Arabidopsis thaliana: one gene and its partners. The protein of the gene in region 2 purifies or fractionates together with the protein of the main gene of each other region. This does not show direct contact. Each region holds a gene or a part of one and is shown on either strand. Other genes may lie near its edges.

Region 1 (9,654 bases), about 19 Mb from region 2:
TCAAAAAAATTAAAATACCACCAGGACCCTCATTCTCACATATATTGCAAAGGAGAAATTCTATGAGGTTAAAACCAATGCAATCAGGATACCAACAAGATAAAGACTCTCGAGTCTCAGGGCTAAACTCCTTGAAGTCAGCTGCTCTCAGTGCGTCCTGTTTGCATAAGGGAAAAAGAAATGAGGACCTAACATGTAGAGTTAAGCTGCTGATATTCTTTTTCTAGATACCTCAACGACAAAGGTAATTTGGCTCTTCCGTTTTTTTGGGATCTGTTTGTTCATCTTCCACGTTCTTTCTTGACCATAATCATCAATTTGATTGTATGGAGTCAATCTGTACCGGGTCATCTCCAGAATATCCTCTAGGAAATGACTACGAACTGGATATGTAAATCCCTATAGTGAAGAAGACAATATTAGTAGTTTCACTGGGGTTAATCAGAGCATATAGATCCAAGGAATATTGAACTCAGCAAAAGATTAAATATCTTGAAATGTTCTAAAGAGGATAAACAAATATGTTTCTTACTTACTGGAATATAAATGACACCTGCCCCACCAAAGTATGACGAGAAAAGCTCCGCATCTAAAGTTGCACTCATCAAAATCAGCTTAAGCTCTGAGCGACGAGATAGCAGATCCTTAAGAATGATAAGAAGGAAATCTAAAATACAAAAGTAATATAGTAAGACACCTAAATCAAGTTAAGCTAAAAATGAGGAGCTGCTTGATAGCAAAAGTATACATACCTTCATTCATTCCACGCTCATGAATTTCATCCACGATAACATGAGTAACTCCTCTTAAATTTCTATCTACCAACAAGCGTCTCAACAAAATGCCTGTGGTGCAGAAGAGTAAGCGGGTATCTCTTCCTTTAACACCTTCCAATCGAACTTTATATCCAACCTTCACAAAAAAGTAAGAAAAAAGCAAGAGAGCTTAATCAGTAAAAAAGAGAGGAATTCAAAGTATAAGAAGGGTCCACGCTAACTAGATATAGGAGCATGCAGGGTGAAACTCACAGATTCACCCAACTGCTCTCCTCTCTCGTAAGCAACCCTCTCCGAAACAGACATAGCAGATATTCTCCTTGGTTGAGTACATATGATACTGGAAAAAGCTCCACGGTTTGCTTCAATCTCGGATTCTAAAATAAACTGCGGGATTTGTGTGGTCTTGCCGCAACCTGTTTCTCCAGAGATAACAATAACCTGCAATACGAAAATTTATGTGGGTAATCGGAACTAATACAAAACCAAGACGACCGTCAAGTTGATATTCGATTTTCTATTTGACACAGATGTCACACGACTGAGCTCAAGCATGCTTCCAGTTATCTTCTGTGCAGACCTGATTTTGTGAAATAGCTGTCAATACTGAATGCCTTTGCTTGAAAGCAGGGAGACTTGTACGAGAATCCAACATTCTTTGGCCTTCTACGGATGCCTAATCAATGGAACACATCAAAACTAAATGGACGATGAAAAAGCATAGATGAAGAATATATTAAGGACCTAATATAAACAGAACCTGCCAATATTGTTGTCGATCACGCAGCTGCAAACTCCTTTGCCAAAGAATTTTGGTGGCAGAGATGGGTAGTGGTTGCTCAGAAAACCATTCATCAGTACTGCTAATGCTACTAGTTCTTGAGACGGAATTGGCAGGGACTCTATCTATCCTATTAGAGCTTTTACTGAGGTATTCTGTGAGGTAAGCTTCAACTCTTTGAAGAAGGTCAGTATGCAAATTCACCTGTAAATATTTTTGTATATATCTGCTCTTTAAAGAAAAACAAGCCGTCTTGCGTTAAGTGTAAGAGAAGAGAGTGAGGAGCAGCGGATAATACCTCCCTCTGTGGCTTCTTGTCATCTAAATCAAACCTATAGTTGGGGAGTGGGATCTTACTGAAGACAACAACCTTAGCATATGCATGACTGCAAAAAAGAAACAGAAATGGTTGTACTAGTGAGAAAGAAGAAAGAAAGGAGCAGCATGATTGATGTACCTATACAATCCCAGGGTTGTAGCCAGAGCAGCAAGTTTATCAAAATCCCGTCTATCTTTTTTCTCCCTGGAAATAACTTCTTGCTTTAAAGAATCTTTCAAAAGCATTGAAAATCTCTTATTCCAATCATCCAAGTCGGCACAGTGAAAGGTACCCTCCTGCTGCAAATTGATATGGTTCCAGTAGAAAGATAAAGGGATTTTTATAAAATGCTACTCGAGAGCAAATCGAAAACTAGAATCGCCATTGTAAGAGCATCAATCAAAAAGCTCAGAGATGCATGAAAAAAAGATGAAGAAGAAGTTAACCGGTTGGCGATCCTCGGAAACGCGGTCATCATAAGCGGAGACATAGCGAACTGGAGAGAGAGGAACAGGATTGAAGCCGTAATCGGAACCAAGGCGCTGGTGAGGCGGAACGTACAGCGAAGGAGGAAGACGATTCGTCATCGGAGCCAAATTCAAAACTCTAAACTCTCTCTACTGTAAGTCAAAAGTAAACTATAAAGAGGGAGAGAGATCTCCGCTGCTTCTTCTAACACTGAACTTGCAACTATGCCAATTTTACCTAATCGCCCTCCAAAAATTTTGTAAACTTAAAAGAAGAATTACACAATTTGGTTTTGCAGTCAAACAGTAATCAGTCTTTCTGAGAGGAAATATAGATTTAAGAGGATGTTTTCACGTTGCTCACATACATATATGATATGATCGTGACTCGTGACTGTCTTTCTTTCTCAGAGACAAAACAAAAAAGGGAAAAAAAAACAAAAGACAACAATGGTCCTTAATCCTTATTACGATCTCTGAAATTAACAAATCAGTAGGTGTAACCCTTGACAAACATTCCTTTCTTGGCATCCTCGTTCTCTCCCTCGGCTGAGTATTTGCCGAGCTGGGCCAGTGAGTTGGCCTTTGCCCTCACCAACAGTGCCTTCTGCGAGGCCTCAATCTTCTCCGGCTTGCCTTGCCATGTTCTGAGCACGGAGTTCTGCAGGGCACGTGCGTATGAGAAGGACACATGCCATGGGTTTGGGCTCTGGTTCATGGCGTTCAGGTTCAGTGTGGCCTCTGCCTCTGATTGTCCTCCTGACAGAAACATGATCCCTGGGACAGCCGGAGGAACCCTCCTTTTCAGCATGGTGAGCGTGAAATCTGCAACGGTCTCGGGAGAGGCCTTGTTCTTGTGCTCAGCGCCTGGGGTGACCATGCTCGGCTTCAACAGAATGCCCTCAAACATGACGTTGTTCTGTGCCAAGTAGAAGAACACCTCTGACCACACTTTCTCTGCCACCTCCAGAGTCCTCTCTATTGGGTGGTCCCCGTCCAGAAGGATCTCTGGCTCCACAATGGGGACAAGACCATTATCCTGAGAGATGGCTGCATAGCGAGCCAGCCCCCACGCAGCTTCCTTCACAGCCAGTGCTGAAGGACCGCAGGGAACACTCACCACTGTCCTCCTAGACAAACACACACAAACATCAAAACTAGGAAGAGCATTTTCACATCAAACCAAAGAGTTAATACCATATGTAAGATAACATGGTGAAATATATGACATACCACTTGGCAAAACGAGCGCCTTGCTTGTAGTACTCAGCAGAGCGTGAGGCCAATCCATCCAAGCCTTGGCACCAAGACTCTTCGTTGGAACCGGCTAGGGGAGACAAGCCCTACGCGGTGGATTGCATTGTCAACACTTCACTCAACACACATAAAAACTCAACTACTTATGATGATGATGACAGAATAAATGGATAAAAAATACCTTGTCAACTTTGATGCCAGGGACGATGTTGGCATCGCGCAAGCAATCGACAAAGGTCTTACCGTCCTTGGTGGACTGGTAAAGAGTCTCCTCGAAGAGAATGGAACCAGAGATGTAATCGCCGAGGCCAGGAGTGGTAAGCAGAAGTTGCCTGTAGGCCTGACGGTTGTCCTCGGTGTTATCCAAGCCGATAGAAGCAAGCCTCTTCCCACAGGTTGCATTGGACTCATCGATCGCCAAGATACCTCTCCCAGGGGATGCAATGCTTTTCTATTACGCAATAATCAGAGAATCTCACTCTACGTTTGACTTTGAGAATTACGGAAACGAATCCAAACTAATAAAGCATCAAAGAGAGAGAGAGGATAAGGAGGATACTCACGGCGGTTTTAACAAGCTCGTCGGAGTAAGCACCGGCGCGGATCGCGAAGGAGACTCGAGGAGGAGGAGAAGAAGAAGCAGAGGTGTGAGCAAAGGAGCGTTGGCCGATCCATGGAGAAGAGAGGGTGTTAGGCTTAACGAAGCTAGCAGACGCCATAGGTAGTACAAGGAAGGTACAAAAGTGATGGTGATCAATCTCTCGGGGACTCCGCGGGACAGAGACAGAGAGAGATCTGGGATTTGGAGGAGAGTGTTAAAGCCAAAGGTTTTGTTTACTACTATTAGTAGTCGTCTACTTTGGCATCACCTACTCCCACCACCAAAAAGCCTCCTTCTCTTTACCATTTTATTCCCCAATTTACCGTAAATGACGCTTTTAACCTTGAGGGAGATACTGGTAATTTTTTCTAGTAGTTCATCAGTCTCTCAACAACAAGAATCTGAGAATAACCAAAACTCTACCGTTTCGTCTACCCAAACTATCCTTCTCCTACCATTGCCTCTTCGTCTAACTCAATCGTTTTTCTTAATTAATCAAATTACATGACCTATCACCTCTTCAAGGAGTGTGATGAAAGAGAATGGGCCGGATATTCCCTTTTTTATCTGTTGGGCCACAATAGTAAACAACTTATATAACAGGCAAACTCTTTTACGTAATTGATTTTTGGGCCCAATAGTAATAGGGCTTAGTTTCAGATAAACAATAAGAGCCCACGACAGCTTTGGTGTTCTTGGGTCTTTTTCTTTTTTTTTTTCCTTTTTATTAAGGCAACCATCCAATAAGTCCAAATATTGGTGTTACTCGTAACAGGCGAGGAAGGTGTAAACAAGAAGAGAGAAAATGCAAGTTCCGAGAAACGTTATATATATGCGACATGAGAAAGTGGCAACTTTTTCTTTCTTGTATCTTACACTACTTTTTTGTATTTTTAAAGTATCTTTGATTTGATAACAGTTTTCTAAAACTGTTGGCCACAATTTAAATGCATATTCATATGTATGTTCAAATTTACAGCAACTCAGTTTGACCCCACAAAAAAAGGGAAAAACAACAACAAAATTCAAGACTATATGACTAAATATGTTCAAGTGCTTCAATTATATATTAGGTACAAGAATATGAATATAATGCCAATCTTATCTTAATCAGAGTAGGAACTAGTAATTTTCATATTTTAAGACAAGTTTGAAAGTTGTTTTAATTAAACATGCGTAAAGTTCCATTCTCTGCTCTCAGATGAATGGCATATCGATCATAATTCACCTAGTACTTCTTCTAGAGTGTTCTACGCTGCCTCTACGTATTAGAATATAGTATATGTAAAAGGTGTTGGTGCAGATCTTTGATTAACACTTTGGTCAGTCACATATCTAATGATTTTTAAACGATAAACCCCAAAACGCGTCTTCATACAGTTCACATGCATATGTCACCCAGAAGAATTGACTCTCAGATCTTTCTAGGTGTTTGTGTTCACACTTCGCCACGCTCTCTCTGTTAGAAACGATTTAAATATACAAACAAAGCTAGTCAGTGTTTCCCATTCGAAAAAAGAGAAAAGACAAAAGAGAGTGTGTTATTTGTCTTGTAATGAAACCTATTGAGTATGGTTGACTGGTTGGTGCGTAGGGAGAAGCAGAAGGTGATAGGACCACGTTGTTGTTTATTTGGCAATTCTTTTACAAGCCCTTGGTCCTGTTTTCTCCATCTTCTCTACTTCATTTGTCATTTTCATTGTTTACTTATTAAATTTACATCCATGTTAACTATTTTCATTTAAACAACAACGTACGTGGACCTATCGACTGATCATCCCTTGGTCGACAAACAATGATGGATCGGAACTTGATTTGGTTTTCTTGAGTTATGTGAAAAAGCATCGCATTATCAATTTTAACAACTTTTCTATAGCTCTTAATTCTGTCTAGCTAATAGACCTATAGTTTCTAAAACAAATACTATAGTCTTGCAAGCCGCATGCTACCTAATGCAGTATATATTTGGATAATTTCAAATTGTCTTTATTATTTCCTCATATTTTTATTTAATTATTTAGATAATTTTTATTTATTGTTTTATGAATTTTCTAAAATTTTGGATTTATTATAATTAAGACTTTTGAACTTAAAATTGTATTCAGTTAATTGATTAATAAAATTAAGCTTTTACCTTTTCAGAGAAGAGTATTCTCTAATTCCTTGCTTTCGGTAGATCTTGAAAGATTTCAACGGTTATAAAAAGATGTAGGATTCGGTATTCGAAGAGAATCAACGAATTCCTTACGTTCTCTCGTTTCTGTTATTCTGAGGAATCAACAGATCCAAAAAATTCTAGTTTTCTGGTATTCCGAGGAATCAACGGATGTCTAGTTCTATCCATTAAAACTTCCGCTACTTCAGTTGGTATCAAAGCTAGAACTAGAGATTCGTTGATACACTTAACAAACAAACAAAAAAAACTTAAAATCAAAATTTGACACACACACCAAAATGAGTTACCTTTTACTCATTCATGTTCATACTATATAAAATATATTTTCGTCGAAACAATCACTCCTCCTAAAATATTTTAAATTTTTAATGCAAAAAATATTAGTTGTGTTTTGTTTATTTTATAATAAATGATTTAATCATATAAACAACGAGGATCGATAAGACACTCGCATGCTATTTTTACCAGGATTACATTAGAATGAGAGTCACAACCACATAATGAAGACGATCGTCTGCTAGCTATGTGACGAGAGATGGTAAGTGGTTTCAGATTTTATGATGTAAAGTGGAAGGAGTGGTCAAATAATTAGGTCAAAGAGAGTCGAGGTGGTTGTCACTGGTTGGCTATATCGATGACTAAACCACACACCTACACCTTCAATTTCTATTTTAATTATGTTTTCTGAATAACTTAATACTATCTTATATGATCGTTAGTAACAAATATTTTTTTAAAAAAAATTTATGTACATTCATAGGTAGCACGAAGTGAACAAATACTTGAATTTTCTTGCGTCAATATAGAACTAAGATCATACATACATGATACATAATGAATTTATGTTTATATTAGATATGCGTCACAAGGGAGACAAGAAGCGAAGCGAGGATCGTGCTAAAATCTTGGTCAAGTTCACAAATTATGAATTGCTTTATATATTAAACAATCTCTCACAAAGGATGGATAATTTAATTAGTTGGTTCCCTGTCAGTTGTTAATTAAGAATTAATCACAAACCGCCCACTTCCTTTTTATATTCCAAAAATGCTTCTCCAATGTTCTACACTTAAGTATATCATATAATTAAATGAAACTATGAATGAGTAAAATAATTGAAACATACTATTTAACTAGCTAGCTGGGGGATTTGTAAATAATATAACAAAGGTCGACAATTGATACTTTTTCCATGTTGGGAAATTCTGAAAACTGATCAATATATATGAGTAATCGACAAGAAAATAACTAAAACTTAGACTTTGAATGGTTATAGCGGTTTAAGAAGACAAAAATGTCTATATACCAAATCGTGTTTTATTTACTATTTATAAATTATATTATGTAATAGTGCGGATTCCAAAAAATAAAAAATAAAAATTGTTGTGGACTAACTACGAACCGTCTTTAAATTAAATTTGCAGCGGATTGTTGTTCGATCTAAAATTAGTATGGACTGAACCGCTAACGGATTAATCTGCACTAACCACAACATCCATTCAAAGACTTAATTATTTACTATCATGTTATATTTGTGGGGCATTAATAAGTGAAACATATTAATAGTAATTAAAATGAATGATATGAGCCATGATCTTAGGACTAAACATTGGGCATGCTAAATTGCTAATAATATCTATCACAAGAAGAAGCGCGACACAAAGGAATAGATGCGATCATGAAAGATCATTATGATGATTCAGTGTTTTTCTTCTTTAGGTTCTAAAGCTCAATGATTGAAGGCCTCTGTAAAATTTTGTTTGGTCTTTGGAGATAGAAAGGAGCTTAGATAGAGATATGAAATCAGCATCCAACAACATTTTAGAGTCATTCAATTTTGACTTTAGTATCTCTTTCCAATAAACCGAAAATGTGGGTGAGAATAAAGAAAAGTGAAATGTTTTGGGTCATATTCATCATAAAATGCAAATAGCGGGGCGAAAAGTATGAAGATGGGAAAAAACGAAAAGGACTGAAAGTGAAAGGGCTTAACCAAAAGCAAAATAATGGGTCCCACAACACGTGGCCTGTGTCATTTCTTCTTCTTCTCCATCCATATAAAGAAGAAGAAAGAGATGAGATGCAAGGTAGTATATGCAGCAAGAACAACAACAAGAACCAAAGTAACAAAAACAATCTCTAAAACCATATCAATGGGACTACAAGGTCAGCTCTCCGACGTGTCATCAGATTCGATCCCACTGATGCTACTGGCTCTCCTCGCAACTTTCTTCAGACACGTCCGGTCTCTTCTCCTCTTCCCTTCTTCTGCCCCCGTTGTTGTTGTTACTTCAAACCTCAGCGTCCTCGCCGACCAGCTCAACCTAAATCGCCTCTTCTCGTACCGCTACTCCGACAACGCAGCCTCTGACTGCATCGTGTGTCTGTCTAAACTCAAGACCGGAGAAGAAGTGAGGAAGCTAGATTGCAGACACGTCTTCCATAAGCAGTGTTTGGAAGGCTGGCTTCAACATCTCAACTTCAATTGCCCGCTCTGTAGATCTCCATTGCTACCTCATCATCATCAGGGACATGGCAGTGATGCGTCGATCTCAGCCTTCCCTCTTCGCTCTACCTCTACTGCATCATCTCATTGATTTTTATGTGAAGAAAGAAGAAAGAAGAAAGCAAGAGAGAAGAAGATGGAGGGAGGATGCTTTTTTATTTATCTTCCTTCTCCTCTTTCCTTTTTAGGAGAAGATTCTTATTTCTTACTACAGAAGATTGATTCTTCTTATATATCTATATATATAACCTTCTATATTTAGCTATGTTTTTGAGGAATCTCAGATCGGAAGAGAGGTCCTTTTGTTTTTCAGATTTCCACTCTGTAAATTCTTAGTATGAAAAGAATCAAATTAAGCTTCATGTATTCCTCCTTGGCTGGTAAATCTTTTTGTAGTATATTTGACAAAGCCTACTACTATTTAATTTTGCATTCTAGACAATCTTGAAGCTTTACACTATGGACTTTGTTCTGGTTTCCACACTTTGCATTATTGCTATTGACGTTAAAAGGTAGGTAACACTATTTATTGTGTCGAAATTCTACAAGAAAATATCATAGCACCTCATTTGGTAACAAACTACACTTGTATTAATTTTGTTATTGTAAAGACTGTCTGTGTCTAAAGTTTATCAAAAATATCCTATATGTAGTAATGTGAGTTGCAAATTCGTCCAATCTTTTAGTAACTAGTTGTAGCTCCGCTAAATAGTTTTCGTTTTCTATAGATCCGCCCATGATAACACCCACATTTCAACTTGAATAAAGTTG
Region 2 (11,661 bases):
ACAGAAATGAAATTTATAAACTTTCGTTTACACTTTGGCGGCTTTGCTAATATAAACACTTTTGTTGGGTTTGGAGGGAGTTGGTGAGAAATGAGAAGAAGGCATCCGTCAAATCTTTCACCAACCAAAAACTCTATGACTCTGGTATGGTATGAGCATTTATCATAACCACTGGCAGTATGACACGTGTTAGTTTGGTGTTCACGTCAACATGTGCAAAGGCTTTGGTGGGTTAGGTGAAAGAAAATGTGGGTTTTCAAATTGGGCCTCAAGAAAGATAAATGGGGTTTCTAACAAAAAGACATGAAAGGGGATTATGTTTTTTGTTGGGCCTTAAGAAATGGGTTTTCTAACAAAAAGACATGAAAGGGAATTTATGTTTTTTGTGGACAATCTCCCATGTTATGAATTATGATTCTCTGGAGATTACGAGTCATTTGTTTTTTGGTCTTGCACGTTGTATGTTGAATCTGCTATTTCTTTTGGAGTATTAACTATAGGTAATGGTGTCGTGAAGGCAAAAGCAACAAATTTATTCTACGTATCAGTGCGAGTTTGCTCTTACAATTTTATTAAATGCGTTCAATTTTATTGATTAGCAAAGGCGATCTCTTGGAGCTAAAAATTTTTGCACTTAATTTATAAACAATGTGCAAAATTAAAACAAAATAATATCTATTAATAATATGTTATAGATACGTTAGATCATAAACTGTATGTACGAACACTAGCGGCGACACAACATACAAGTCACCCTTTTCTAGCATTCGACCAAAACCACTTATATTGAGATTTGAGAATGCGATGTCCCAAACCTCACAGACTCTCTGTTATGTGATGTTTTGAATAAAAGAGAGGTCAATGCTCTTTCACGCGGGAGAACATCATAATCGCAAGTGCCCTCAATTAATGTAGTGTATTCACCAACGAGCAAGGCAAACTACAAGAAGAAAAAAGGAAAAGAAAACTTGAGAAGTTCTTTGAAAACAAAACGTCCAAACAAAAGTGTAACTGAAAAATACAAATAGATATAAAGATTCATTACGTTAAAACATAAGTATTATTCCATAAAGCGGACTAAAAAAAGAGTCTTCATTGAAAAAAGAGGATTCAGAAAGGCGTCGACGAAATCTTTACTATCGATGATAGAGCGTCACAGCATCGACACGGATCGGAATCTGATGATAAATTTCGTCGAAAGCCTCGATAGTATTTCGAAGATGAGTTTAAGAGGAATGCTTGCTGTGGAGTTTTCGGCATGATCTAGGTTACGTGATGTACACGGTTGTGAATCTTCCATTGTGGATTGGTAGTGATAGCCCTACAAACATAAAAAGGGACCAATATATATAACACATGACACTTTTGTTTTTCCATAAATAAGTAAGGGAATTTCCGGTTGTGCCATATTTGTAAGCAAAAATGGAAAGATTCTAGACAGAATTCCGTAAATTCCTTTTGTGTCAACCAATTAGACTACAAAGTAGATGTAAGACTAGTTGAGACGATTGCAATTAACATGTAAGGATTACATGTCTTTGCGAAATAAAATCAACTAATCAAGAATAAAAGTACAATAGAGTTGTTGTTTACAAAGATCAAAACTATGTTAATTACAAGAAAACAATAAAAATATAAATAAAAGCCTAAAACATCATTTATTTAATCAACCAATAAAAATAATTTTGCATTGAAAATTTAAAACATCATTTATTTAAAAACCAAAATGAAAGCTTTAAACATCATTTATAAAAAGATTGGAAGGAGTATATTTTTATTTGGACAAAGAAGATAATGCTTATGGAATGTCTCTTACTTCAAATGCAAACCTCGGTAGTACCTGTAAGATACTTTTTTAAATAAGTGACTTGGCTGCTTCAACCATAGCTTCAATGGTGATACCAAACTCTTTATAAAGCTTTCCTGCTGGTGCACTTGCTCCAAACGTATCAATTCCAATCGATTTCCCTTTTCCTCCGACGATCTTTCCCCATCCAAAAGTCGATCCAGCTTCGATACTAACTCTAGCTGATACATCAGATGGCAAAACACTTTCCTTGTATGCATCTGATTGCTCGTCGAAAAGCTCCCAACATACAAAGGAAACAACTCTCACACTTTTGCCTTGTTCCCTTAACTTCTCTGCAGCTTGAGCAGCAATCTCTAGCTCTGATCCAGTTCCGATCAAGATCACATCGGGTTTGTTACCGGTTGAGTTGTCAGAAATGGTGTATCCACCTTTCTCGACGCTCTCAATAGATGTTCCTGGAAGTTGAGGCAGCTTTTGTCTAGATAAGGCTAAGACAGAAGGTGTCTTACGTTTTGTGACAGCGATTTTGTATGCACCGGCTGTTTCGTTCCCATCAGCTGGACGGAACATCATAATATTGGGCATGGCACGGAAACTGGATAAGTGTTCGATGGGTTGGTGGGTTGGTCCATCTTCTCCAAGACCAATGGAGTCATGGGTCATAACGTATATAACACCAGCTTCAGACAAAGCCGAGATTCTCATTGCAGCTCTCATATAGTCAGTAAACACAAAGAAAGTTGCGCAGTAAGGGATAAAACCGGGGCTGTGAAGGGCAATGCCGTTGCAGATAGCTCCCATACCATGTTCCCTGACACCAAATCTAAGGTTTCTTTCTTCAGGTGTGGCTTTTTGGAAGTTGCCGAATGCTTTAAGCATTGTCATGTTGGAAGATGCAAGGTCAGCACTCCCACCAAGAAAACCAGGCACAGCTTTCGCAAGTGCGTTAAGACATTGCTGAGACAGGTTTCTGGTGGCATCACCCGGAGAGTCTGGTGTATATGTCTAAATGAAAATTTTAAGTTGCCTAAAATAAGAGCCTTATATATGAAGAATACTGATAAAACGTTATAGATTACCAGAAAGTTCTACTTACAGGAAGTGCCTTCTCCCAACCAACGGGCAATTCACCTGAGATAATAGATTTCAACTCTGCAGCTTCCTCCGGATATTTCTTCTCATAAGCTGCAAATTTGGCATTCCAATCAGCTTCAAGAGCAGCCCCTTCGGGCGTGTGACGGCTCCAATGGCTAGAAAACATAAGAATTATAGTAAATTACCAAAGCAGGTTCTCATACCACAACCATAACCATAAATAGAAGTGCATAGTTAAGTTCTACTTACCTTTTGACATCCTCAGGTACATGGAACGGCTCATATGGCCACCCAAGATTGTTTCGGGTAGCCTCAACTTCCTTCTCACCAAGCGCAGCTCCATGGACACTGTATGAGTTTGCCTTGTTGGGAGAACCATAACCAATTGTAGTAGTGACCTAAACCATGCCACAAAACAATTAACACCAAAGGCCATGAGATCAAACGTTGCTTAATGAGTTCATGGCTAAAAAAAGTGTGCAGATACCTTAATCAAAGTGGGCTTGTCTGTTACAGCCTTAGCTTCCCTAATGGCAGCACGGATCTCATCATAACCATTGTTTCCATTCTTTACCCAGATAACATGCCATCCAAGAGCTTCAAAGCGTTTGTCCACGCTCTCGGTAAAAGCAATATCTGTGTCTCCATCAATGGAAATGTGATTGTCATCGTAGAAAGCGATTAGCTTTCCAAGTCCCCAGTGACCAGCTAGAGAGCAAACTTCATTTGAAATCCCTTCCATCTGACAACCATCTCCAAGAATCGAATACCTAATCCAAAGCAGTCAGTTTACAACATCACAATCCAAGAAAGATAACAATAAAAGTGCCGTTGAAGGAGTCAAAATCTTACGTGTAGTGGTCAACAATCTCATTGTCAGGTTTGTTAAATCTAGCAGCCAAATGCTTCTCCGCAAGAGCTAAACCAACAGCATTTGCAATACCTTGTCCAAGAGGACCTGCATGTTGGCAAATACAAGCAATGCTATATTACAAAAGATCAACATCAACTAAAACACACAAAAGAAGCAGAGAAAATCTAACTAACCAGTAGTGGCTTCAACACCAGGAGTCTCAAAATTCTCAGGATGTCCTGGAGTCTTACTTCCCCATTGACGGAAGCTCTTCAAATCTTCCTCCTAATAAAAAACTTCAACACTGCTTCAGCAAATCTTAAGTTGGTTCTACAATTCTAAATCTCAAGACTCCAAAAATCACCAAATGAGCAGGGAAACGGAACAATCTGTGTATTTACTATGTAATCTCAATAATGTAAACTAAAAGGATACAAACTTAATAAGCAGAGTAAGAGAACACAAACCCTAACGCTGTCGTAGCCAGCAAGGTGAAGCAGAGCGTATTGCAACATGCATCCATGTCCAGCAGAGAGAACGAAACGATCACGGTTAAACCAGTAAGGATTCTTGGGGTTATACTTCATGACTTCATCGTACAAAATGTGAGACATCGGAGCACAGCCCATAGGAAGACCTGGATGACCTGATTTCGCCTTCTCAACCGCATCTATTGCCAGAAACCTGATCGTGTTCACCGACTTATCAACCAGGGACGAATCAGAACTTGTCACGATTGCCTCTACGGCGGCTGCACGAACCAGAGGGCGGAGAGAGTGACTGATCGTGGAGGCGTTTCGTCGACGGGAAGAGATGGTGCCACTGGTGCGTGGAGAAGTGGATTTGAGAGCAGAGAAAGCTGGTATAGAGACGCAGTTTTCAGAGCCATTGTGAGAGATGGCTCGTGTAAGGAGAGCTTGTGAGAGCGCTAGAGAAGAAGTAGAAGCCATTGATGCTCTCTCTGGTTAACTGAGAGAGAGAAAATAGAAGAGAAAGCTTCTCTGCAAACCTATTTTAGGAGACTGTTGCTATTAATAAACCAATGAGATCTCGATCTGACCGTTGGATTCAGAAAGGACACAATCTTGACGGCTGTGATGCTCTATGGCTTTAACAATTTTTCGAATCTAATTCTTTTGTTTAATTTTCAACTAATCATTGCTTTTTACGCTAATTATTAAAATAATAATTTAATTTAAGTAAAAAATAGATTGACAATGCGGCATGGTTGGTGTGTTAAGCAAAAGCCATGGTTATGACAAGGGTTGGTGAAGAACCTAATTACTTTAGATTTTTTTTTTTTTTGGGGGCAAAATTGCTTTAGATTTAGGAAATACATTTTAGTCACCAATTCACCAACTCCGGTATTGACCCAGTCGGTGACGGCGTAGCTGACGAAACCTTTTTTTCTCTCAACATCCCACGTTGCATAGCACGTGTCTTTATTTTGCTCATTTTTTCTTGTTATGTTTGCAATTAGTGGGCCTTCTTATGACCTTCTTTTGTACCGAATATTTGCCCATTTGGGCTTTATGAAACAATTGGGCCGAAAAAAACTCATGCAGTTTAATGGAATCAAGAACTGAACCAAAACTAAACCGGAGAAAGCTTACTCATGTCCTTGTGACTGTGTCGTGGTGTGTCATTACATCATCTTGACTCGCTTGCTACTCGAGGATGAGTTTCTTAGACCTCTACTGGTTACAGTGTATGAAGCCGAAGCTGAAGGAAGTGAAGGGGACTTATCGATATATGCGTAACGCTCATCACCATTCCAATACAGAATGACTCGGTTGGTGCACGAATGAGACCAGCTATCGCCTGAAAACAGCACAAGTTGACCATTTAAGTATCATAACAAATGAATGATGATGATGATAATAGCAAACTGAGATGGTAGATTTGAGTTTGGCTCACCTAAAGCAAGCGCTAGTTGAAACGAGCCTTCACTAAACTTTGTGGTCACCTGGTTTAGTAACACGACCTGAGATTGGATCATAAGAGTTGATTAGGAACCTCCACTTAAGCTAGTCAAGGATTGTATTGTGAATTAGATCATTTCTTCTTACCGCAAGTGAGAACTTTTTGGCAAGCTTCATGAACTTTAAAGCCATTTCGCTGAGCACTCGTGTCCTCTGGGCTAAGTCATCATAGTCCTGACGGAAATGAAAGGTGATACTGTCTACGATTACAACTTTAACCTGCAACCATGAAAGATTAAAGAGAGTCTTAGTGAGCCGCCGAATTATGTCACAATATACACTTGTAGCAGCAAATCAACGGGATGGAACTTCAAAATTATTATACCTACATCTTTGTTTTCAGAGATGAACTTTTCAAGATGATTGACCAATGCGATTTGCTCGGTGTAACTGCAGACACGGAAGTAGAATATGTTCTCTAAGATATCTTCTGGTTTCATTTGTACTTGATTTGCTTGAAAATGTTTATGCATGTATCCTGTGTATTCTTCCATGTCCTCTACACAAGCTTCTGCTATCTGTAAAGCACGCTCCACCATGAAGCTACCTTCTGTATCTGTAGCATACAAAAAGCATTAACAACCAAGTAAGTGATCAACCAAGGCATTAGTCATCACTACTAAAAGAAACATACCGATATATATAGCTTTCCCTCCAAGACCACCACACTCACGTGGAATCTGAACATTCACAGAGAGCTGGATCCTGAAACCAGATCGAAGTTAACAGAAGAGGAAACACTCTGATGATGATGAGAAAGTAGAGGAAAGCAGTGAAGCGGATTTACCCAATCTGAGTCTTGCCAATCCCTGGTACCCCACCTTTGAGAAAATAAGCAAACCACTAAATCACTTAATGATCTCAAATTGGACCAGAGAAAGAATGATAATGGAGATGACATACCAATCTCTGTAACATCCCTACAGCTAATTCCACCGCCCAAAATGTTATCAAGATCAGAGCAAGATGTAGTAATACGCGGCAAAGACTCCTCCTCGTGAAGCATATCCCAAGCGTTCTTTGCTCCTTTGTTTAGTCACAAAATTTCATAAAGAGAATCCTTGAGTGAACCATTTAAGAAGGAGAAAAACCACCAACATAGCTCCAAGGAGGAGTTCATCAAGTTACCATTTATGAGTGAACGGCTTCCATTGCAACAACTTTGATTAGCCAGCTTCAAAATCTCAAATGCTTCCTCCTCTGTGATATTTGCATCTACTCACACACCAACGATATCAAAGATGACTCAAAACACACACACACACATATATAGAATTATTCCAGAAATAAGCCTTAAACAAGAGACTAAATAGAACCCTAATTATCAACCCAAGGACTAATCAATTGAGGTGTACTGTCTGTGCTAATCAGAGAAAAACGAGCAACAGATTCTAATCTTCTAAGATTAGGGTAAAGCAGAAATTTACCTCGAGCGAGATCAGAAGAAGAGACGGAAGCAATCGAAGACAGACAAGTATAACCGGCCGATATCAGTTTTCCTCTAATCGAAGGCGATAACGGTAACCTCCATGCCTCCATGACTGAAGTCGCGAGTGAAGTTTCTTCAATCGCCGGCGATTTACGCCGCCCAAATGAAATCATTGTTGGCGCCACATATATAACGATGAAAGTCTTTTAACTCCCTATCGTTGAATCAATATTTAAAAACTATTGGATTAAAAATCGTATAATTCTCAGTAGTCTAGTGGTTCAACGACATCTAAATTTTACTAATGTCGTGAGTTCGATCCATATTTGCAACTTTTTTTACGTTTTTTTAATTTTTTTCCCTTTTTTTTTCGTCGAACAACTTTTCATTTAAAGCCCAAAATGGGCAAAGATACAAATGGATTTGAGACCAACAACCTTAAAACAATGAAGCCTGCCATTTTTCTTCAAATCCATTTGAAAACTCCTTAGCAGAACAGACTCTGTGACAATCGATTGGTCTTCTCCACATCTTCTTGACCGGAAATCCATCTCTGACCGCCTCGAAGCTACAGAACACTCCGCTCCACAACCGATTTATCGATAAAAGACGTCCCATGACTTTCCATGGACGAGCAAAGGCATCATTACTCCCTGCCTGAGAAGATTAGAGCATATGTTGAAGCTGAAAGAATTCCTCACGGCCACTGAATCTTTAGAGAAAAATTGATCTCTGCAAGCTTCTTTTTTTCTCCTCAATGTTGGCGCCATTTAATGTTGGAACTAGGAATAAACTAAAAAGTATAATGAACCAGACACGGTTTAGGTTAACCGGGACCAATGATTGAACGAAATTAAATTAACCGGAAAAGCGTTTGTTCCTCAGTGAAAAGAATACAAGGATTTGGATATCTGGTTTTAAGTTACAGGAGACAATCTTCTTGCTACGTTTGTGTTTGTTGTTGAAGAGAATCTGCTCTAATGATTGAAGTAAGTGACGGATGGATCCGTGCAGTTCTCATAGAACGAGCTTCGCTTCTTCCTTTCGCATACTCCTCGCCAAGAGGCCACCTCGGTCGAAGATCATACTAAATTCATAACCAACAAAACATCAATCTCCAAGTTATCAGTTTTTCAAACAATAGAATCTTTACAAGTACCGAGTTTTGTTAAGAAAAAGTACCACATAATCCTCAGGTTCAGTTGCAGGTGGAGGTGGATCATATCTTCCTACACGAAAATGCTCGAGACCAGTCCAAGCCACCATTACTCCTGGTGAGACTAATGAATACTTGTTAGTTTCTATTCTCTGTGTCTCTAATTTGATCAGTAGGAGAATTTCAAACTCTATTTACCATTGTCTGTGCAGAGGCTAGGAGGAGGGCAAACAAGTTTCAGGTTTTTGTTTTCGACAATGTTATTAAGTCGGAGTCGTACATACTTGTTTGAAGCAACACCACCAGAGATTACCTGAAGCTTAGTCAATATTAGTCTAGAAGCATTTGTCAAGCAAAACAGAGGTTTCTTTTTCTTGTTCTAAACCTCACCATATGTTTAATAGAAGGCTCTAGTTCTAATGCCCAGTCTATTGCTCGCTCACATTTTTCTTCCAGATGCAAGACAGCTACTCGCTGGTTCATACAAACTGAAAATGTTTAGAAATCAGCATTTCACTAGAACATTAAAACCGGAGATAAATTTGTACCTGGAAAGAAGCGGCAATATCAGCACGGTTTCTTCTGTCTTCGTTTGTTGCAGAAGAGACGGGACATTTAGCATCACTGCACATCCAGCAAACGACCAATATTTTTGTAACACAAAGCTTCAGCATATGTGACACAACGCTGATAAACAATTTCCGAAGCTGATTATAAGATCTCACTATTTTACATTTCTTTGGCTTCAATGGCTAGCCTCACTTGTGTCTTCAAACCAGCATAAGAAAAGTTGCAATCTTTATGATATTTCATTGGAACCTGATAAACATGGTAAACAATATCACAGAAATGATGTGAACATTGAGTAGAACATGAAAAAAGATATCTAACCAACCAGCAACTAGTTTGTCACTTACATTAAACTTAACAGACTTTGCATCACCCTCCAGAGCAAGTTCTTCAACAGCTGGTCCACCACTCCTGTGCATATCGAGGCCGAGCCATTTAGCTGTCTTGTCAAATGCCTCACCTATAGCATCATCTACTGTAGTCCCAAGTTGTGTGTACTGACCAAGCTTATGCGCAAGAACTAGAAGATTGTGCCCTCCTAAATAGAAAAAAAGAAAAGGGGCGTTTCAGTTTAGATAGAAACCTAATCCCTACGGTGAAACTGATTTTGCTTAAGAATAACTTCACTAAGATGATAGTTTCTCACTTACATTAAACTTAACTGATTTTGCAATACCTGATATAAGCAATGCCATGAAAGGGAAGCTTAATTCTTGTTCCACTAATCTACATAGACAAATCAGACGCTGATGAGCCAGTCACAAATCTCAAAAAATGGGAACAAAACCATAACGCGAGCAGATTAAGCAATACCTAGCAACGAGAGCATGAGCCTCCATGTGATGCACCCCAACGATTGGGAGACTGAAGTTACCAGCAACTCTTCTAGCCTTGCGCACACCAACTGTATAACTCAAAATAAACACTTGTGTCTAAGTACTCTAACAACACTCATCATTCCAAAGTACAATGAGTGGATTCTTATTTCTCCAACTTACCACGTAGACAGAGGCTCAAACCAGGTCCAATGGTAACAGCAACAGCAGAGAGATCCTTCTCGGTCAAATTGGCTTTATCAAGCGCGTCTTGCACAACCTGCAACCGATGAATCAACATTTTTGTGTGCCGTTAGCATTAAACCCCACCGGCCTAAAAATATGCACATCTCAGGGCAAAATGAAGAATCTGGACCAATTGTGAACAAAGACTGAATCTAGATACTTGAGAGTTATCGAGTCATGCAATGCTTTGTAACGATGAATAGTCTATATTACCTTATCGATAACTCGGGAGTGTGCTTCTTCAGCCTGTTTAGGAGCGACGCCTCCATATTGGACAAGCAATTCTGCCTTAATGTTGCCAATTCCGAGATCAGAACAGGTGAAACTTAACGAATCATATAAAGGATAGAAATTTTTAAAAGTGAAAGGCTTTCTCAGACAAAACTATGTATTCAAGTCATTACTGGAGTCTTCTAAACATGAAAAGCACGCCAAAGAATCCACTAAAGCAAAGGAGTGATCGTTACCTGAGAAGAAATGACTTGACTGAGAATTTCACCATTACCTCTCACCTAAAAGCCACACATTCCAACATCAGAAAGGTTCAGTAAACTAATACTATAAGTTAACACGACAAGAAGAAGAAAGGTGATTAAACGGACTTACAACAGCTGCGGCAGTGTCGTCGCAGCTCGTTTCAATACCCAGAACAACCAAATTATCATCAAAATTCGGGTTTTCGCTATAGGGTAAGGAGGAAATTCTTGTTTCGGTAGAATAAAAACGTGTCCTTTGAAAATTGGGTGAAGATGAAGGAGAGATTAACGAGAAAGTCGGGGTTTTGGTTTTAAGCTTATGGTGTTTTTGTAATCTGAGAGAATTATTATTTCTCGCTAGAATAGAGATTCCTGGATAAAGATTGAATCGGGAAATCGCCGGAGAAAGTGTAAGAAACAGACGAACCATTTCACCGAACCGAAAGAGAAAGACGGAAACTTGAGCTGTGTGCAGAAGATGAGCTGAGGTTTGGATTGCAGCCTAATCCGGTTTAAATCAGAACCGGTTTAAATTTGACCATAGTGATTGGGTCCTGGTTTAGAGGTTTTAAGCAAGTAGAAAAATAATGAGCTTTACCATTTCCGTTCACTTCCTAGAAAAGTAAGTATATACCTTTCTCTGTATTTCCTTCACCTCCGGCTAAATCTCCGGCGACCGCGTAACTTGTTCTCCGGTCTGAATAGTGAATAAACACACACACGGAGCCAAATCCAGGTGATCTCTTTAGTTTTCGATCTCTTTCTCTAGATTCAGATTAAATTATAACAGCTGATTGTCTAACCACAAACCTAAATTGCAAAAAGCTTGTGAACTTTATCTGGAAATGAACACTGTCGAAAGATCTTTAGGGTTTGTGAAATTTATTTTTTACATTTTCCATAGCTAGATTTCATTTGAATGATAATTCACTTCGAGATCTGTAAACACAAAATGTTTCAAATTGAGTCTTCTTCTGTTCCACAAGTTTGATTCTAAGACATTTTTTTGCAGGAGAAATTAGGTTTGAATTAGAGAGATTAGGAGAATACAAATTGGTTTGGTGGTTTTCAAGTATGCTACCAAGTGGGTTGAAAGAAACCCAACTCCGTGAGAGCAACAACAACCAAAAAGTCCATCCTCAACCAATGGAAGAGTCTATCAATCAGAATCCTGAAGCTATGGAAGCACTTATCTCCAATCTCTTCGGAAACATCTCGTCTTTGAAATC
Region 3 (10,901 bases), 3.9 Mb from region 2:
TAACACTGCCATCCCTTAACATCTTTGAGAAAACATTAAGTGCCTCTTCGTTCTCTTTATTCTCGACATATCCTGTAATCATCGTGGTCCAGGAAATGACATTCTTTTCAGGCATCCGGTCAAATAAACCACATGCTTTGTTCATTTCCCTATTCCGTATAAATCCTGTGATCATTGTATTCCATGAAGCAAAGTCCCTCTCCGGCATCACTTGAAAGAGTTGGTCAGCTTCGTCTATCCTATTGTTTTGTGCATAACCTGTGATCATTGCATTCCAAGAAATGATATTTCTCTCAGGCATACAATCAAAAAGTCGTCTCGCTTCATCTACCTTACCGTTCTTTGCCAATCCATCGACCATAGCAGTCCATGAAACGACATCCCTTCTAGGCATTCTTTCGAATAGATTCATCGCCTCATCTATCCTCCCACGCTGCACCAGCGCTTTAACCATTGAGTTCCAAGAAACAATGTTTCTCTCAGGCATTTCATCAAACAGTTCCAGGGCTTTATCAATTCTCCCACTTTGAGCATACCCATCAATCATAGTATTCCAAGAAACTACATTTCTCTCAGGCATTTCCTGAAAAAGCATCTCAGCTATAGAAAGCTGCTTAGATCTCAAGTACCCACTAACCATGGCTGTCCAAGTCACCACATTTTTCCTAGAATCAACCCTATCGAACAATTCCCTAGCTTCTCTCATATCCCCTAACTTAATATACCCAGTAATCACATGCGTCCATGTGACCACATCTCTCTCAGGCAATCCGTCGAACAGTTTGCGTGCTTCTGCAATTTTACCTACTTTGCACAGCTCCCCAATCAGCCATTCGGGTTGTGGCACACGTGGTCTTGAGCTGGAAGAGTAAATCGAACGTACGAGATTAAATAGTTGCACGGATCGGTCATTGTCTGAGCTGGGAAATACCGATGATCTTTTGTAGTAACTTCTCAGGCGCGACAATGCGCGAGATTGCATCAGCTAAAAGATAGCAATAAGTAATCTTATTTACTGCGTAGGTCGATAATAGGGAAAGACAAGTGTTGAAGCGACCAAGGAGCTTTTTCTCAGAGATACTCGAGTTGTCAAAAACTGAGGCTTGGCTCCTGTCGTGGTCGTCAATGGCGTTTGTAAAACATTGTATGCTAGGAAGAACAAACTCTCGGAAGAACACTGATTTTACAAAGTGACCCATAATATTTATACTTTATTACAAAGTGACCCCCTGTTATAAGTGAACTTTGAAAATAGGGGACTTTTGCAGCAAAACAAGCTCATTTTGGCTTGTATGTCGTGTTTGGCACAAGACAAATCATATTTTGATATTTGGTTTCCTATTACCTTATTCATTTCAATTGTATGGACCTTTGAGTCAAGTCAAAAAAGAAGAAGAAAAAAGAGTCAAGCATAAGGAGCTTGACCAAGAACTGGTTCAAGCTCAGCCAATTGTTGCCTCAAAAAATTGTAGACAGACTCTGTAGAATCCGAAGCTATTCTAACCACAACTCCCTTTCCCTGCAACATATACAACTTTGATTAGCCATTTACAGTCTTTTAATATTGTCTAGTTTTATGTAAAGCTATATATGGTTCACGGTTTCCTGATTGTAGGAAGTGGAAAGAAAGGATGATACCAACCTCAGGGCCGAAAGTGCTACAGGAAGCTATAAACTCTGGTTTCATGAAGCGATTACGAGAGCTTGACTCAGACTTGTGTCTCCGAGAACTATAAGAGAGCTGTAATTGTTCTGACATCATGTTTTTCACATTTTCTTGGACTTGCTTTTGGATTTCCTTCAGCTTTGCCCTTGATCCATTTTCAAACATATTTAGCAAAGATCCAAATTCTCATAGAGAGCACTACCAACTCTAAAACGTGTTCTAAATGTTTTGCAATTGCATACCCGAAGAGTATGACCATTGCTATAGCTTGATAGTCTTGCATCCGTTCGGCTATGCTTTGGATGCTCCTCTTCTCTAGTAGCACCTGCAATGAATAAACCATTACCAAAGGAAGATCTAACCACGCTCATGAATGTTCTATCAATACTTCATACACGATTTGCAAGCGGGATTTTACTTGGTTTAAGGTAAACCATTCTCTACAAATCTGAAAGTGGGTATGAGATTTTAACTAACTGTGTCAAGGAATAAAGGGTGATCATCTTCCAGGTAGACGTTGTTGATGCTCTTATAAAACTCGAAATCCCATTTTTCGCCATTAGCGTGACGCCCGCTTGTGATCCAATCCACAAGGACCAGATTGGAATCTGAAAGCAATCTAAAGATCTGTTTCTGATAGTACCGGGCAGTGGAGAAGCAAGTCACTGGATCTGGTATCACAACCAAAAGAGCTTCACTCCCGATTCTCGCCTACTGCACACAACAAACCGAAAGATCAATCAGGAACATGAATCAAAGAAAATGGTCCTATTCTATTGCAATAGCACTCTGTTCTACTAAGAAAGCTCAAAATGATTTTAGTAGAAATGTGAAAGAAACATTACTTCCAATATCTGTTCAGAACACTTTGATCCTATTGCCTTGTACACCTGTGTGAAATCACAAGATCCATCAACAGAAAGTCAACCACGTAGGATGAAATTAGTGTCCATTGCAAAGAGAGAGAAAAGCCCTAAATTGATTCAACCTTAGTAGAAGACTGCGTTGTAATAACTGCAGTGCATCCATCACCAATTGTGAATTCACATGAAATCGAATCGCCCTACATAATTTGAACAAGAACTAGATTGATTCAAGCGCATCGATGGCAAATTCATTAATAAAGAGACAGAGAAATAGGGAAATACAGAGACAATGCCGCCACCATAAGTGATACTGTAAATCCAGACAACGTCAGTTCCAGCAGGAGCTGCCTGAAAGTTCAGTGTCGCCGGAACTTTAATAACTAAAGATTGAAAATTCGAAACTGTGAACTCTACGTAGAGAGAGAGAGGAGACCTTGCTAGGAAGTAAGAACTTGAGAGGATACTTCGAGAAGCAGCTCGTAGCTGTAGATCTTCCTCCCACTTTCTCCACCACCACTTTCCCTGTCGCCATCTCTGATCTCTCTCCACACTGTCGTCGACTTTCTCACTCCAGTTTGAGTAGAAATGTTGAATATTTTATATGCAAATCTCATCAGTTTCTGGATGTAGAGAAAGATATGATTTTGGGTGAAAAATGTCAAATTTATAAGTAGGAACAGCTCTCAGGTTCTAATCATACATAAACTCGAACGCAATCCAAATTAATGTTACAACAGTTTTATTTCCCACTCTTTGTGTTTTGTTTGGTGGGTTTTCTTCTTCAGAAACTCTCTTGGATGTGTTTATAAGAGCAAAACTGGAGGGATGTGTCCTTAATGGCGGAAATGTCTAACGTTGGTGAAGAGCAGAGAGACTCCATACTTTTTGCAGCAATCAATAGCGTCTTGGTCTCTAATACTGCCTCCAGGTTCTGCTATCACTCCTATTCCCATCTGGCACGCCTCTTCCACCGCATCTTTCCAAGCTGCAATTCACACAACAACAAATTTCCAATTCAGAACGGCTAACATTTGTTGATTGATGAGTCATTTCAGACAGAAGAATGGTTTCGGAGAGAAAAATATATATACCGAATGGGAAGAATGCGTCACTGGCCAAGGCAGCTCCTTTAGCTTCCTCCCCAGCTTTCTTGAAAGCTATTCTCAGACTCTCTACTCGGTTTGGCTGTCCGCTTCCCATCCCCAGCATACAATTGTTCTATGAGCCAACCCAAGAATCAGAATAAACTACTAGCAAACAAGTACAGAAAGAGAAACAAGAAAAGGAATCAGAGAGGAAAATCCAACCTTTGCTATCACAATGGCATTGCTCTTGACATGCTTAACGCAGAGCCAGGCAAATTTTGCATCCGCAAGTTCGCTTTCAGTCGGAGTTTTGTCTGAGACAGAATTGAAGCTGATGTCTTCTGGAGTTAAATCGTCCGAGTCCTGAGCCAACCAGCCGCCACCAACCTGTCTGAGCGATAGTTTCCCTTGGTCATTCTTTTTAGCTTCGAGGATCCTCAAAGTTTTTGATTTCCCTTTGAGGACTTCAAGACCTTTAGCAGTATACTTTGGAGCAACCACGATTTCATAAAACATTCTAGTTTCCCCGTCTGTTGGGCTCCTGAACTCTCGGATCTCCCTCGCAAGAACCTAGAGACAGTTACAGATCACTAAACAATTGAATAATGTATGGGACAACAGTAGTTTGACTTTTGATTACCTCGTCAACTTCAACATTGAAAGCTACAATGCCACCAAAGGCACTAACTGGGTCAGCTTTTACAGCTAGCCGGTAAGCCTCAAGAATATCATCACGAGAGGCCACACCACAAGGATTTGTATGCTTCACGACTACACATGTTGGGTTTTCAAATTCCGACACACAGTTCCATGCAGCGTCAGCATCAAGATAGTTGTTGTATGACATTTCCTGCTCACAGAAATAAATAGAAAAGTTAAACATAATAAGGCTTGAAAGCGAGGATAAGGATATAAATGGCAGTTTAAAACTATTTGCTCTGTAAATTACACCGGACAGAAAAAGTAGCATACTTTCTTACCTTTCCATGATGCTGAATCGCTGTTGCGATACCACCGGCATTCACTTCAGCAAGGCTCTTATCAACATAAAATGCAGCTTTTTGATGAGGATTTTCACCGTAACGAAGAGAACTCTTAAGTACAAGCGGAACTGTAAAGCTGGGAGGGAACTTCTCTTCTGAGAAAGACATGAATATCAATCAATGTAAGTTGCCAATTGCCATAACTAGTGTAAGGAGGATCACATAAAAACAATCACATACTTCCTTCAGTCTGCTTCCATAGCCATTCTGAAACCGCAGAATCATATGCAGCAACATGCTGAAAGGCCTTCCACGCAAGTTTTCTGCGGAATTGTTGGTCGCTCTGTCCTCCTTTGAGATACTCCAAAACAGCTTGATAATCTCCTGAATCGACAACAATGAGAACGTCTTTGTGGTTCTGTTGAAAAAACAATAGAAAATATACATTTATAATCTTGAAAATAATCTTGCAAGTGTAAAGAAAAAGTCTCATATGCACAGATATATGTATTACCTTAGCAGCTGCTCTAATCATAGCAGGGCCACCAATGTCAATGTTCTCAATCCCATCCTCAAAACTGATCCCACCTGGAGCAGTAACTTTTTCATAGAACGGGTACAAATTGACAACCACAACATCAAATGTACCTGTCATAGAATTAAAAAAAAAAAAGGTACAGTTAAACATAAGGAGACACTATAAATGACTTAGTCTCAAGCTTAATGTAGAGGATCAATCAAAGGTCAAAACTCACCAATCCCATGCTCATTAAGAGCTTCCATATGATGCTCCACATCCCTTCTAGCGAGGATACCACCATGTATGTTTGGATGCAAAGTTTTCACACGGCCATCAAGCTTTAAGAGAAGAAAAAAAAAAAGGAGAGCTAAGTTTAATATACTAAACTCAACAAAACAATGGTATAAACCAAAACTTAAATATAAATATCAGCGAGATCACAAGACCAAAACTTTTAGCAAGAGCAGCGAGCATAAGAGAAAAGAAAAACATGCCATTTCTGGAAAATGAGTAAGCTTCTCCACTTTGGTCACAGAGACTCCAGCATTCTCCAAAGTAGAGGCAGTTCCTCCAGTAGAAACAATAGTGTATCTACACAAATATCAATGAAAAAAGGAATCATTTACATATAAGATAGAAACAAAACCAAAATTTGTATAGTTCTAAGTAAGAGAGAGTTGTGAAGAACACATACCCCAATTCTTGCAGACCGTTGCCAAGAGAAGCCAAGTCCCTCTTGTCAGATAGAGATATCAAAGCTTGCTTCTCCCCTGATTCAATTAAAGCCCGATTATTTGAAAATCACTAAAACGTAACTGAAAATCGATCACTGAATTTGAAATTGCAGCAAAAAGAAAAATTGTAAACCAGAGGAGCCTGAGGATTGCGGCTGATTCCTCTGAGCAGTCTGAGACTCTGCCATGGCTCGAACAGCAACGAAACTTGGACACAGCGACGTACGATAGACCTGCTCATTGAAAATTCCACTAATATTAAAAAGTTTAGCAGAACATGAAACAAAGACACAAAGGAACACGTCCACACACAGAGGAGAACTCACAGGCTGAGTAAAACGAAAAGGCGCGACGGATTTTTTGCGAAACAAGCCGCAGAGAATATCGCCGGAGCGAGCACTCACGGAGGTGGCGGTGGCGGCTGAGCTGAGCATAGTAGTCTGATTTTGAAACAGTGTGTAGTGTTGAGCTCTGTTAGGTTTTGTGATTTTGCGGCTAATTTTGGAAATAAATTAGAAAAAAAAATAAAAAAAAAAGGAAAATATGTAATTTATTATTGGCGTCAGGTGGAATTATGTATTTATTATTATGGCCTTGACAGTTAGATTACACCTGGAATATTTGGAAAATTGGAATAAAGCTTCTCTTTTTATTTCCCCCAAAAATAAAACTAAACTATTTTAACTCCAAATTTTAAAAAATTTAGTAGAAACCAAAATTCTCAAGTGTAAACTAATTAGTAAGAAATAAAACTTTATTGGATCAGAGTGGTAATATTACAAAAGACTAACTATGGAGATGACGAAAGCTTCTTATGTTTTATATGATATTTTATTTGCTTTTCAGAATTTTAAATAATGTAAGTAGATAACAATTATTTTATTGGTAGGCATAATAGTTTTTTTCTCGAGAATATAGTTTTGTTTTTCGAATTGTCAAAATTAGAAGAGAGATTTTAAGGAAGGACTTGGCTTCTTCTCCTACTCATCGATCGTCAAACCGAGGACGCTTCACAGTCTCTGGTGCCGCCTTTCCTGGTATAAACCTTTTTCTCTACTTCTCTCCTTCTTTGCTTACTCGTCTTCCTTTTAGGTGTATGCTGTTTTTGAATTTTGATCATTATTATCGAAAATCTCTGGATCCGATGTGTTTCCACCTGAATTTCGGGTAATGATACTCAGATCTTGCATTTTCTAGAGTTTCAGTGGTTTTGATGGCTTGATCGGCTTTTGTTTTTTGGTTGGGTAGAGGTTTTTAGCTCAGTTTTTGGTTCGAAATGACGCTTATTTGTTTCCTTTTTGAGGTTTGGAATTGTTTCACGGACTTGATTGAATTTTGGATTTAGTTCTATGTTTTGATCTGTTGATTTACACTCTCTCAAAGTTACGATGGGTTTGCTAATAGTTTGGTGAAGTTGATCGATTTTAGTTTCAGCGATTCCTGTTAGTTTAAACTTGAAGAGACTAGAAAGTAGTCATTTTAGCTAGTTTCATGTTGGAAAGTATGCACAGTCAGATATTTGTACTGGATGATCTGTCCCTGCTAGAGTAAAGAGTTTTATTGGTTTGTATACCGAAAATGTTCCTTAAATAGTATGGTTTTCTGAGTTTTAGCCGTATGCTATTTTGGTTTTTTTGTTCTTGAATATGTTTGACTACTTGAGTAAAGTTACTCTTCTCCTATTTCAGGCACCTCAATGAGAGTTTGAGTTGTTCATGATAGAAGTCGTCCTGTTCTGCAGCCAAAACGTTAGAAATTTGCGAAGGATGCTTATGCAAAGATTTTACTTGGGTCATGATCATGATATGTCGCCTACAAGCGTTTGTGAGGGAGCTTATGAACTAGATAGATAGACACCTTGAGAAAGAAAACATGGATCAAGCAAAAGGTTATGAACATGTTCGGTATACTGCCCCTGACCCTAGAGATGAGGGACTTGGCTCCATTAATCAAAGGTTTTCCCACGACTCTTCAACTAATGTTAACACTTATGTACGACCTCCAGATTATGGTGTTTCAACCCCTGCTCGGCCAGTGCTAAACTACTCAATACAGACCGGTGAAGAATTTGCTTTTGAGTTTATGAGAGATAGGGTTATTATGAAACCGCAGTTCATCCCAAATGTGTATGGTGAGCACAGTGGTATGCCTGTTTCTGTTAACTTAAGTGCTCTGGGAATGGTTCATCCAATGTCAGAGAGTGGCCCTAACGCTACAGTGCTTAACATAGAAGAAAAACGTCAGAGCTTTGAGCACGAGAGGAAACCCCCTTCTAGAATTGAAGATAAGACCTATCATGAACTGGTCCAGTCAGCCCCAGTTATCTCTTCGAAAAATGATACTGGTCAAAGGCGTCATAGTTTGGTTTCTTCTAGAGCTTCTGATAGCTCTTTGAACCGTGCGAAGTTCTTGTGTAGTTTTGGTGGTAAAGTTATACCCCGCCCCAGAGATCAGAAACTTAGGTATGTAGGTGGTGAAACGCGTATCATACGGATTAGCAAGACTATTTCTTTCCAAGAACTCATGCATAAAATGAAAGAAATATTTCCTGAAGCACGCACCATAAAATATCAGCTGCCAGGAGAGGATCTTGATGCCCTAGTCTCTGTATCTTCTGACGAGGATTTACAAAACATGATGGAAGAATGTATCGTGTTTGGTAATGGAGGATCTGAGAAGCCCAGGATGTTCTTGTTTTCAAGCAGTGATATAGAGGAGGCTCAGTTTGTTATGGAACATGCAGAGGGTGATTCTGAGGTTCAGTATGTTGTTGCTGTCAATGGGATGGATCTAAGTTCACGGAGAAGTTCCCTTGGATTAAGTCCTCCCGGGAACAATTTGGATGAACTACTTCATGGGAATTTTGATAGGAAGATCGATCGGGCTGCTACAGAACCAGCAGTGGCTTCGCTTACTCCCTTAGCAGGTAATGAATCTTTACCAGCGAGCCAAACTTCTCAACCTGTAACAGGATTTTCTACTGGAAATGAGCCATTTTCACAGCCTTATCTAGGACAACAATTGCAGTTCCCCGGACTTGGTAACCACCAAATTTACACGTCAGGTCACATGGCAAGCATAGGCTATATAGATGAGAAGAGGTCTGCTCCTTTACATGTTCAACCACAACCTCATTATATCCCGTATTCTGTGAATCCTGAAACACCTCTTGAAAGCCTGGTGCCCCACTATCCACAAAAACCTGAGCAAGGATTTTTGCGTGAGGAGCAGATCTTTCATGTACAAGATCCAGAAACTTCATCAAAAGAGGCCAAAATGAGAAGAGATGACTCATTTCAGAAGGTAAATGATCATCCTATATCTACTGTCGAGAGCAATCTTTCAGCAAAGGAGCCAAAGATGAGGAGAGAATCCTCAACCCCAAGGGTCAATGAGTATCCTGTTTCTTCTATGCCTAGTGATTTAATAGTCCCAGATGACCTCCCGAAGGAAGAAGCTCCAATTGTCACACAAACATCTAGTTCAACACCAGATCCAAGTTCTTCAACTCTCTCAGAGAAAAGTCTTAGGAAATCCGAGGACCATGTTGAGAACAATCTGTCAGCAAAGGAGCCAAAGATGAGAAAAGAACACTCCACCACAAGGGTCAATGAATATTCCGTTTCCTCTGTATCTAGTGATTCTATGGTCCCAGATCAAGCCCTCAAGGAAGAAGCTCCTATTTCCATGAAGATATCCAATTCAACACCAGATCCAAAATCCTTGGTTTATCCAGAAAAAAGTCTTAGAACATCCCAGGAGAAAACGGGTGCCTTCGATACAACAAATGAAGGCATGAAAAAGAATCAGGACAATCAATTTTGTCTGCTTGGAGGATTCTCAGTATCTGGACATGGTACTTCAAATAATAGTTCATCTAATGTGAGCAATTTCGACCAGCCTGTGACTCAGCAAAGAGTCTTTCATTCTGAGCGAACTGTACGAGATCCAACAGAAACTAACCGTTTGTCTAAATCTGATGATTCCCTTGCTTCTCAATTTGTAATGGCTCAAACAACATCAGATGCTTTCCTGCCTATCAGCGAATCATCTGAAACTTCTCATGAAGCAAATATGGAGTCCCAGAATGTTCATCCTACTGCGCCAGTAATACCAGCTCCTGATAGCATCTGGACAGCCGAGGGTAGTATGTCACAGTCTGAAAAAAAAAACGTGGAAACTAACACCCCGGAGCATGTAAGTCAGACAGAGACTTCAGCAAAGGCTGTTCCACAAGGACACAATGAGAAGGGGGATATAGTTGTTGATATAAATGATAGGTTTCCTCGTGAGTTTCTTGCTGATATATTAAAAACGAAAGAGTCTCTGAACTTCCCTGGATTAGGGCCATTGCATGCCGATGGAGCTGGTGTGAGTTTAAATATTCAGAATAATGACCCTAAAACTTGGTCGTATTTTCGAAATTTGGCGCAGGATGAGTTTGAGAGGAAGGATCTATCCCTTATGGATCAGGACCACCCTGGATTTCCCACTTCCATGACTAACACCAACGGAGTTCCTATTGATTATAGCTACCCACCATTGCAGTCTGAGAAAGTTGCCTCAAGTCAGATACATCCACAAATCCACTTTGATGGAAATATCAAGCCAGATGTGTCTACCATTACCATACCTGATTTGAACACAGTAGACACACAAGAAGATTACAGTCAGTCACAAATCAAAGGTGCTGAAAGCACGGATGCAACTCTGGTAAGCTTATTGTATTCAACCTAAATATGGAAAATCTAATAATTTCACTACTGGCAACGTCTCAACTGATATTTTTCTAATTTCCATAAATTTGATATGTAGAATGCTGGAGTTCCTCTTATTGACTTTATGGCTGCGGATAGTGGCATGAGGTCTCTGCAGGTATGCATTTGTCAGCGTATGGCTTAACAATTTTACAAGCTGTTGCATTTGCCCTCTCTTTTTTAACCAGATACATACAACGACTGAGCCACCACCATTAGTGAACTGGACAGCATCACAACATAGGGCCTGAATAGTTGTTCTAGTGATTTTAAAACCCTAAGTACTCTTA

What was found.
Region 1: the proteins of AT2G45290 (region 2) and PDE345 fractionate together in Arabidopsis thaliana (co-fractionation; one large-scale study listed by BioGRID). This does not show direct contact.
Region 3: the proteins of AT2G45290 (region 2) and AT2G35040 fractionate together in Arabidopsis thaliana (co-fractionation; one large-scale study listed by BioGRID). This does not show direct contact.

What each region holds. Positions count from the first base shown.
Region 1 is NC_003071.7:92,173-101,826, forward strand, and holds PDE345 (Aldolase superfamily protein), read right to left. Parts: upstream 4,692-9,654; 5' UTR 4,320-4,691; coding exon 4,164-4,319; intron 4,052-4,163; coding exon 3,782-4,051; intron 3,687-3,781; coding exon 3,577-3,686; intron 3,474-3,576; coding exon 2,834-3,473; 3' UTR 2,555-2,833; downstream 1-2,554. Other genes in the region: AT2G01130 (DEA(D/H)-box RNA helicase family protein), read right to left, coding at 1-157, 232-399, 537-667, 753-912, 1,029-1,217, 1,357-1,452, 1,537-1,761, 1,856-1,943 and 2 more; RHA2B (RING-H2 finger protein 2B), read left to right, coding at 8,384-8,974. UniProt on the Arabidopsis thaliana protein: Plays a key role in glycolysis and gluconeogenesis.
Region 2 is NC_003071.7:18,665,784-18,677,444, reverse strand, and holds AT2G45290 (Transketolase), read right to left. Parts: upstream 4,949-11,661; 5' UTR 4,709-4,948; coding exon 4,226-4,708; intron 4,044-4,225; coding exon 3,953-4,043; intron 3,864-3,952; coding exon 3,758-3,863; intron 3,676-3,757; coding exon 3,393-3,675; intron 3,304-3,392; coding exon 3,155-3,303; intron 3,061-3,154; coding exon 2,907-3,060; intron 2,816-2,906; coding exon 1,856-2,815; 3' UTR 994-1,855; downstream 1-993. Other genes in the region: RAD51C (RAS associated with diabetes protein 51C), read right to left, coding at 5,404-5,579, 5,676-5,742, 5,828-5,959, 6,070-6,296, 6,375-6,445, 6,528-6,561, 6,644-6,766, 6,869-6,955 and 1 more; GCP1 (glycoprotease 1), read right to left, coding at 8,113-8,256, 8,352-8,440, 8,524-8,638, 8,716-8,799, 8,874-8,949, 9,059-9,144, 9,243-9,433, 9,572-9,621 and 5 more; AT2G45260 (myosin-4 protein (DUF641)), read left to right, coding at 11,507-11,661.
Region 3 is NC_003071.7:14,761,982-14,772,882, forward strand, and holds AT2G35040 (AICARFT/IMPCHase bienzyme family protein), read right to left. Parts: upstream 6,338-10,901; 5' UTR 6,289-6,337; coding exon 6,181-6,288; intron 6,107-6,180; exon of another isoform or gene 6,088-6,106; coding exon 5,988-6,087; intron 5,891-5,987; coding exon 5,815-5,890; intron 5,712-5,814; coding exon 5,615-5,711; intron 5,459-5,614; coding exon 5,356-5,458; intron 5,249-5,355; coding exon 5,115-5,248; intron 5,019-5,114; coding exon 4,841-5,018; intron 4,756-4,840; coding exon 4,598-4,755; intron 4,468-4,597; coding exon 4,258-4,467; intron 4,188-4,257; coding exon 3,840-4,187; intron 3,751-3,839; coding exon 3,624-3,750; intron 3,518-3,623; coding exon 3,366-3,517; 3' UTR 3,164-3,365; downstream 1-3,163. Other genes in the region: AT2G35030 (Pentatricopeptide repeat (PPR) superfamily protein), read right to left, coding at 1-982; URED (urease accessory protein D), read right to left, coding at 1,406-1,519, 1,643-1,811, 1,909-1,991, 2,144-2,377, 2,512-2,556, 2,655-2,729, 2,815-2,880, 2,966-3,064; AT2G35050 (kinase superfamily with octicosapeptide/Phox/Bem1p domain-containing protein), read left to right, coding at 7,727-10,567, 10,670-10,729.